Nothobranchius furzeri: one gene and its partner. The protein of the gene in region 1 interacts with the protein of each later gene in a biochemical or structural test. Links are inferred from orthologs where the notes say so. Each region holds a gene or a part of one and is shown in the gene's direction. Other genes may lie near its edges.

Region 1 (4,282 bases):
TGTGCAAACAAAGAAAAGTAGAGAGTTGCATTCTTTTTCTGTTGAATGTTAATTTAACCATTTGTTTTCACATCTAGAATTTGCAGAACCCCCCTGCAGATTTTGGTCGTGTATTTGAGTTCTGTTTTTTAGGTTTCTCTCGTGTGAAAGTAATCATAGTTACAGGTAATTTCAAAGTGGATTTATGCAGAAGACTGTCATTGTTTAATGTCGTTCTTTGCTGTACATTACTGTAACATTCTAAATGCATTTTGAGCTCTTGGTTTTTTAATATTATTATTGGGGACAATTGGTTTGTTTTGGTCACAGCCACGTCGATTTAATCTCATCTGGATTCATGATTCAGCATTATTAATCCTGTGACTGAAACAAATATGCATCAGATTAGGCTGATAGGCTTCTCATGAGTTTATTTTCATATTTTTTTTTAGCTTTTGTAGCAGATTGTTGCAGATGGACTAATGCTGTGAAGAATAAAGTGTCAACTAAATCTCTGCCTCATGAGGTCTGCTATTTTATTCTGAAGGAGTGCAAATTATTCAGAACTTCTTTGGTGCTTTGTTGTTTTTCAAACATTCCTGTCAAGTCAGATAAAAAACAGAAAAACAAATCAATGACTGTTAAATAATTTCATTAAAATGTAATTGAGTTAACTTAATTGGTAAACTGGTGCCAAATGAGAAATAAACGCAAAAATGCCCAAAATCTTACTGCAAGCTAATACCAATTAATTAAATAATTTACATGTATTTACAAATGATACCCACTCATCACAAGTTTTATCATACAATGTTTCATGTATTTTTATTTATTTTATTATCAGGATATTCTGAGCTCCTAAGCTCTCCATCTGGATCTACATTTTTACGTTCTGAAAAATGTTTGTCTCACTTTTCACTGACTGAATACAGATAATTATAAATTATTCAGATTAATTTACATGGACGTTCCTTTCACTAATTTAAATTATTCTAATCTGAAATCCAAACAAGGTAATGCGTCAAAACAAGAGTTTGACTGCTACTATAAATGTGCATGCATTACATATGCAATACATGTTAGATTACATTTTCTTTATAAATTTGTAACACACCAGCTAATATTTTCCACTGTCTTTTGTGAAGCAAGTAAAACATGCGCGTCATGTGAGTTTTATTTTGAAATTCACGCCGGAAGCAATATTTTCTGACTTCACGGACAGCCAGAATTCCGATTTTATGGTCAGCCTGTCGGTCTCAGGGGCTGGGTTTCCCTTTTATCCAAGAAAGGGAGGAAAAAAAACAAGCACTGACAAACATGACGAGACAAAGATTATGATTTAAGTCGTACACATAATTAATGATTTAGACACTTTCAGGACTTGCCATGGCGATAAGGGAGCTCAAAGTTTGTCTTTTAGGGGTAAGTAGAAGACGTTTTTGTTGAAATTATCTGGGGCTATACATTCCTTCAGCGTACCGCAAAGTGGTGGAACTAAACCAAACCATTTTTCACGTTAACAACTTGATCTCAGAACTTAGTTGTTGCTTTTCCTTCGTTATCTTCGTAAAACTTGTTGCTAGCTTGTTTGTGAAAAAACAAACAAAAAAACAACAACATGTGATTAATCGAGTTGCGCCGCATTTCTTTTAAATTGGATATTTTCCCCCATTAATTTTACCGGATTGTTTTATTTCACTTTAATGTGTGGTCCCATTTTTGTTGCTTTTGAAAATTATCACCCATTACGTCATCTTCTGACTGACCGCTTCACGCGCCAGCCGTTAGCTTTCCTGCTGCGTCTGCGATCTTTTGACTCTTTGACAGGAAGTGCTTAGGTTAGCCCTTGGAAACGGCACTTTAATAACACCTAGAGGCAAAAGTTAGTACGTTTTAGAGCCTCATCGCGTCAATCAGGCCTCTTGAGTGCAATCACAGGCCTTAATAATAGAGTTAATGCTCCAAATGAGCTAAACATCTCATTATAGGAGATCACACATATTTAAACCATTTTTAAAGCAAGATATAAGGCTGATGTTTGTCTTGTGTAACTAAAAAAAGAGATGGATCATGGAACACAGTATAGATTTGGTTAACAATAATGATACACCCCTTTATAATGTTAGTTAAATTTACTATCAGTATAAATGCGCTAACTGAGTGTTTTTCGACCATCTGAGCTTGTAATCATCATGCAGTCGCACAATCAGCTGGGTTCAGTGACCATAGATTGCTTGCATGTGACTTATGTGTGACTCTTTTCTTTTCAGGACACTGGAGTTGGTAAATCCAGCATTGTTTGCAGATTTGTCCAAGATCATTTTGATCACAACATAAGCCCGACCATAGGGTGAGTATGAATCATCAGAGCCTAAAAGCAGGAAACAAACCTGGAAATGTTGTGCATAAACATGAACTTTGAGGTTCAAACGATCAATACTTTAATCAAGGCTGAGAAAAAGTGACATGTTTACTTTTGATGACAGAAAAAAGTCATTCAGTAGATCAGTTTGATCCCTTATTGGCAAATTTATTCCAGAAATAGTTATTTTAAAATAATCTCTTTGGAAAATTATACACCATAATTGCAGGAGTTGTAATTAAAATATTTCTTAGGTGCAATTGTTAATGTTTTAAATCAAACCCCCCATAAAAATTAATACGCAATTAGACTGATAAATGTTTTTAACCATTTAAACCAGTTTAATCTTCTTTTTATGATGGTTTACAGCCTTTAAAGTCACCCAGATTCATCATCACACAGTTATTTACACAATTATTAAAATGTCTGCTAACTAAGACAGTGCTGTGTAAGCAACTTTGTGAAATGCGTCTGCAGAGCATCATTCCTGACTAAGACGGTACCGTGTGGAAATGAGCTACATAAATTTCTAATCTGGGACACGGCCGGACAGGAACGGGTGAGTAACACATGACTCCATGAATCATGTTTTTCAACTGATTTTCCATCACGTTTTGAACCAGAGCCACTCAACACTCAGTGTTATTGTTAACTGAGTTTGAAGATGAGGAGATGCATCAAATACATCAAGTCTTATCTGAGAGTTTGGATACGTTTTGATTGCTGCTCACTTAAATTTCTTCTTTGGTTTTTAACAAGTAGCGAAAAAGTAAAGTTGCAGAAAACACTTAAGAAAAGTTCTCCCTAGATCCATGTTTCTGGGGCTGTGGCTGTTGGTGTGCTCTTAACATTCTAATATTGAGTTTTAGGACTTTTCTTCATGCATTTTCTATCATTTTTGGTTTTATGCAACAAAAATATCCAAAATAATTAGATAAAGTTGCAATGTGTTTGCTTTTATGTACGTTATTACACTCAAAAGAAGAGAATATTCTAGATGTCTTGGAGATTCATTAGATGGATGGTTTAGTGCTCTGTTGGGGATGGTTGGGGGGGTAGGGTGGATAAATGGGGAGTTACCTAAGACTTGCAAAATTTGCTTACTGCATGGAAAAACTAGTTCAAGCATTTCCTGGATGTGTGTGAAAACAATATCTGGAGACCTCTGTCTTTAGGTCTTACTGAGGTCTAAGACAGAAATGTTGAGTTTTAGTTTTAATAATGGTGTTGACTAGAGTTGTTATGGCGATGTAGTGTGAGATTTCACCCAAGAGCTTATGTTTGTTTTGCATACGTGGATGTCAATGAAGGGAAAAGATGATGGATGTTTGTGCAGAAACTGTTTTACTGGAACTCTTCCTCATATTAAAACAAATGGTAATAAACCCAAAACTTGTGCAGAAATAAAATGACTTGTGAAATTGGCTACAAACATCACATTTTCGCCCCGTCTGCAGCGTTTACTGCTAAGAGGAGGGGCACACACTGAACAAGTCACCAGTCCGTTACAGCGACACGGGACAATCAACTAGTCCTCTAGATACGGCTGGGCAATAAATCAAAAATGTATTCATCCACCCATCCATCTTCTGAACCCGCTTTGTCCACGCAGGGTCGCACGCGGGGGTGGGGGTGGGGGGGCTGGTGCCTATCTCCAGCAGTCAACGGGCAAGTAGGCGGGGTACACCCTGGACAGAGAGCCAGTCTATCGCAGGACAACACAGACACACAGAGACAAACAACCATGCACACACACTCGCACCTAAGTACAATTTAGACCAATTAACCTAACAGTCATTTTTTTGGACTGTGGGAGGAAGCCGGAGCACCTGGAGAGAACCCACGCATGCACAGGGAGAACATGCAAACTCCATGCGGAAAGATCCCAGGCCGGGAATCGAACCCAGGACATTCTTACTGCAAGGCAACAGCTCTAACCAC
Region 2 (3,823 bases), on another chromosome or scaffold:
AGAACGAGAGACTCCAAACAGAACTGGTACAAGTTGCTCTTTAGAGTTTACAGGACATTTTTCGCATAAATTCTTTAGGATCTAGTTTTTAGGAACCAGGTTAACGCTGTGCCTCCATGCTGCCCCCTAGCTGCAGCGGCCGGGAGTGGAGGATGTGGAGGTTCTGCAGAAGGAGCTGGTTCAGGTGCAAACTCTGATGGACCATACAACTCGTGAGAAGGAGGAGGAGTCCAAACGCCTCAGAAACCATTGTGCTGAGCTACAGGCTAACTACGCTACCTCAGAGGTTAGGAGACTCTCTTATAGAAAATACTTTCAGTTTTCCTCTATTGTTTGCCCAGTCTGACATCACTTCACCTTTCAGGATGGTGAAGTTATCTGTTTCTTTATCAGAAACAGCTATGAGGTCGTTTAGTTTTCTGTAGTTATATCCCTTTTGGAGTTGTTCTTTTATTAATTAAATCCTGATGAATAATTCAGTCTTGTTCCCTGGATCCTAGAGGAGAGGAGTATTTTTATCACCACGTAGCTTCAGGATGTAAATCTTTGTCTTCAAATGATCTTTAGAAGAACAACTTTCTGTTTTTTACACACAACAGAACCAGTTTTTCTGGATTTAGTAAAATTTCTTTTCTCACTGATGATTAACATGAAGGGTTAGTAGCTGGGACTGCGCTGTTTGTGGAAACAGCATCTTGTGGACGAGCTAAAATGTTGGAGTGGGTCATTTAGTAAAGCAAAAGAAAAAACACCACAGATGATCCAACGCTAGCAAACTAAATTGTATTTAACCCTTTTAATTTTAGACATATTGAGCTGAAACTGGGTGTTCGTAGGTGAATCTCATCCTTAACACACTCGGAGTGCTAACTGATAATTGTGCATATTATTAACATGATTTAATGAATTTTAAATAAACTTAATTTATCAACATTAGATGATTTTACTGTAGAGGATCTGCTACGACATGAACACTAGGCCTTTCATTTTTTTGTTTTTGATTTGTAAATAATCTGTTTCTGAAATTAGACAAAGAAGAAAGCCTCATTTTATTTTTTCATAATTGTCAGAGTGAAGTTGTCTTTGCCATGTTGTTCTTTCAGCCCCTCTCCTGCAGTTTGTTGTCTCCTTACTTACCTTTGTCCTTGTGTCCTCCCCCTCCTCCTGCTTCTCTCACACTTCTACTTTCTCTCTGCAACACTCAAAATATTCAAGATTCAAAAACTGGACGTAAAACATCTCCATTCTAATTCATCCCACAATTAAATCAGAATCTTTTCAGATGTTCCGTTTTGAAAATGTGTGTAACTTATTTTTTGTGCGTTTTTGTGAACGTGCGGTCTTTTCACAATATTTTTTTACAGTTTTAACTCCATTTTCTGAATAAATATTTGTAGAATTGGTCTAAATGACGTGTTTGCGGGTTTGCAGAAGACAATCTCCCAACTCAAAGCAGAGCTGGAAAAAGGTCCACAGGAAGTGGCCGTCTACACACAACAGATCCACCAGCTGCAGAGCAATCTGAATAACCTGCAGCAACAATGTCAGGTAACACACACACACACACACACACACACACACACACACACACACTGTGACATCTCAAGCACGTAGCAGATTTGCCTTTACTGCAGCAGCATCTCAGGCTTCTTTTGTTGCTCAGCTTCACAATTCCTCGCTGTCATTGGTCATCTCTGGCAACAGCTGCTTGTTGATAAATATTATGGTCAGCACTATTATTAAACCAGCAGGGGGGGGGGGGTGCTGCGCCGCCTCCTCTGTCAGTCACAGTGAAACACAATCGCAGCCAGGTACAGGAAACGGGGAGCGCAGAGTCATAGATGCCTCCCTGATTAGACTCCAGCTCTGGATCTCCAGTGTCGTTATGATGCAGCTGCTTATCTCTCGACAGTAGGAAAACGACTGACAGATTGAATGAATGAGAAGAATAAAGCATCTCTGAAGAAGCGTGTTAAAGTGGAGGGCAGGTATCGTGAGCAGCTGGCTGTGTCATTAACAGCACGTTACTGTTTTATCACCCTGCTGCCTGTAAAAGCTCAGACCAGCTCTGCGTGTCCTGTTGGGATCTGTGCTGTCGGAGTGATGCTTATTCCTGACTGTTGACGGCTGAGTGTTCTTTTCCATCGGTGGCTTCCCATGGCTCATCGCAGCTGTTTTAAATGACAAAAGACAGATGATTAATGTCTCGTCAAATGCCACATTTTCTCATCTTCCACCCATTTAACCCCGGTTGATCTCAAGCCCTCTCTTCTCCCAGAGTCTGTGTGAAAAGCTCGTGTGTAAAGAGAAGGAATATCAAGATCTGCAGGAGCGTCTGGGAGCTGAGAAAGCTGCAAAGAAGGGAGTCCAAGATAGCCTGAGGGAGAGGGAGTCTGAGGTTCAGGAGCTCCAGGCCCGGGCCACGGGGACAGAAACCTCTCTTCAGAAGGCCCAGACTGAGCTCACAGAGAGGACTGAGGAGGTGGCCAAGCTGAAGAATGAGATCAGTGAGCTGGAGGTGAAGAACGCTGAGCTGAAGGTGGAGAGGAAACAACTGGAACAGCAGAGGGAAGAAAAGGAAAGCCAAGGTGCTCAGCAGCAGACGGAGATCGGTCAGGTGAGGACGGTCACCTGCTGAGACACACACACACACACACACACACACACACACACACACACACACACACACACACACACACACACACACACACACACACATGATACGAGTGTAAAGATCAGTTTGATGCTGTCTCCCTTTTTTTTACCCGCTCTTTCAGCTGCACACCAAACTCCTGGAAGCAGAGAGGCAGGTGGGCGAGCTGCAGGGTCGTCTGAAGGAGCAGAGGCAGCTGTCAGGAGAGAAACTGAAGGATCGAGAGCAGCAAGCAGCAGACCTGCAGCTTAGACTTTCCCGTGCTGAAGAACAAGTCAGAATTAACATTCACTCCTAACACCTGCAACGGATTTAATGTCATAGAAAAGATGTTGTATACATGATTTGTGTTTTTGTTTGAAGCATTTTAGGTATTTTAAAGCACAGAGGGCTCAGCAAAGGCCAGGATTTAGATTTTCATGCTCAGATTTTATAACCTTAACAGCATGAAATTACAAAAAGCCTAAACTTTTGTTCGGATTTCATTTTTATTATTATCAGCAGAAGAAATGTTATTCTGGGTGTTTGAAAATAAAATAAATCTGCCATCTTTTTAGATCATAAGTAAAAATGTCTATTGCAGCAATCTAAAATGATGCTGGTGTTTTTTTTCCTCAGCTGAAGGAGAGCTCCAGTAAGAACACAGACCTGCAGCACCAGCTGGAGAAAGCCAAGCAGCAGCACCAGGAGCTGCAGGCACTGCAGCAAAACACCAACGGGAAACTCCGGGAGGCACAGGTAGCCTCTTCACTCCATCTTCTGAGCTGCTTCCTCTCCACCCCGGTGATTGTTGGGACAGATGTCAATGTGGTTTTGATGTGCGCTTTAGAACGACCTGGAGCAGGTGTTGCGTCAGATCGGCGATAAAGACCAGAAGATCCAGAACCTGGAAGCTCTGCTTCAGAAGAGTAAGGATATTGTGAGTCAGCTGGAAGTTGAGAGAGAGGACTTATGTGCCAAAATCCAGGCTGGGGAGGGAGAATCGGCTGTCCTTAACCAGCTCAAAGAGAAGAACCATGCACTGCAGGAACAGGTGGATGCGCGCACACACACTCTCTGCCCCGTCGTTTACTAAACCTGATGCTGATGACTAAACTCATTCCGAAAGTCCAGTAAAGCTTCTGGTTTTTCTTCTTATGAAACTTTTAAAGGTGACACAGTTGACTGACA

The links.
Region 2: the proteins of rab31 (region 1) and eea1 form a complex in vitro, tested with the Homo sapiens proteins (2 studies listed by BioGRID). The link is inferred for Nothobranchius furzeri from reciprocal best matches to the Homo sapiens genes RAB31 and EEA1.

The regions. Positions count from the first base shown.
Region 1 is NC_091751.1:42,851,452-42,855,733, forward strand, and holds the start of rab31 (ras-related protein Rab-31), read left to right. Parts: upstream 1-1,230; 5' UTR 1,231-1,365; coding exon 1,366-1,401; intron 1,402-2,249; coding exon 2,250-2,329; intron 2,330-2,818; coding exon 2,819-2,900; intron 2,901-4,282. UniProt on the Homo sapiens protein: The small GTPases Rab are key regulators of intracellular membrane trafficking, from the formation of transport vesicles to their fusion with membranes.
Region 2 is NC_091744.1:73,672,603-73,676,425, forward strand, and holds part of eea1 (early endosome antigen 1), read left to right. Parts: coding exon 1-26; intron 27-130; coding exon 131-286; intron 287-1,431; coding exon 1,432-1,548; intron 1,549-2,278; coding exon 2,279-2,617; intron 2,618-2,777; coding exon 2,778-2,927; intron 2,928-3,271; coding exon 3,272-3,391; intron 3,392-3,482; coding exon 3,483-3,686; intron 3,687-3,804; coding exon 3,805-3,823. UniProt on the Homo sapiens protein: Binds phospholipid vesicles containing phosphatidylinositol 3-phosphate and participates in endosomal trafficking.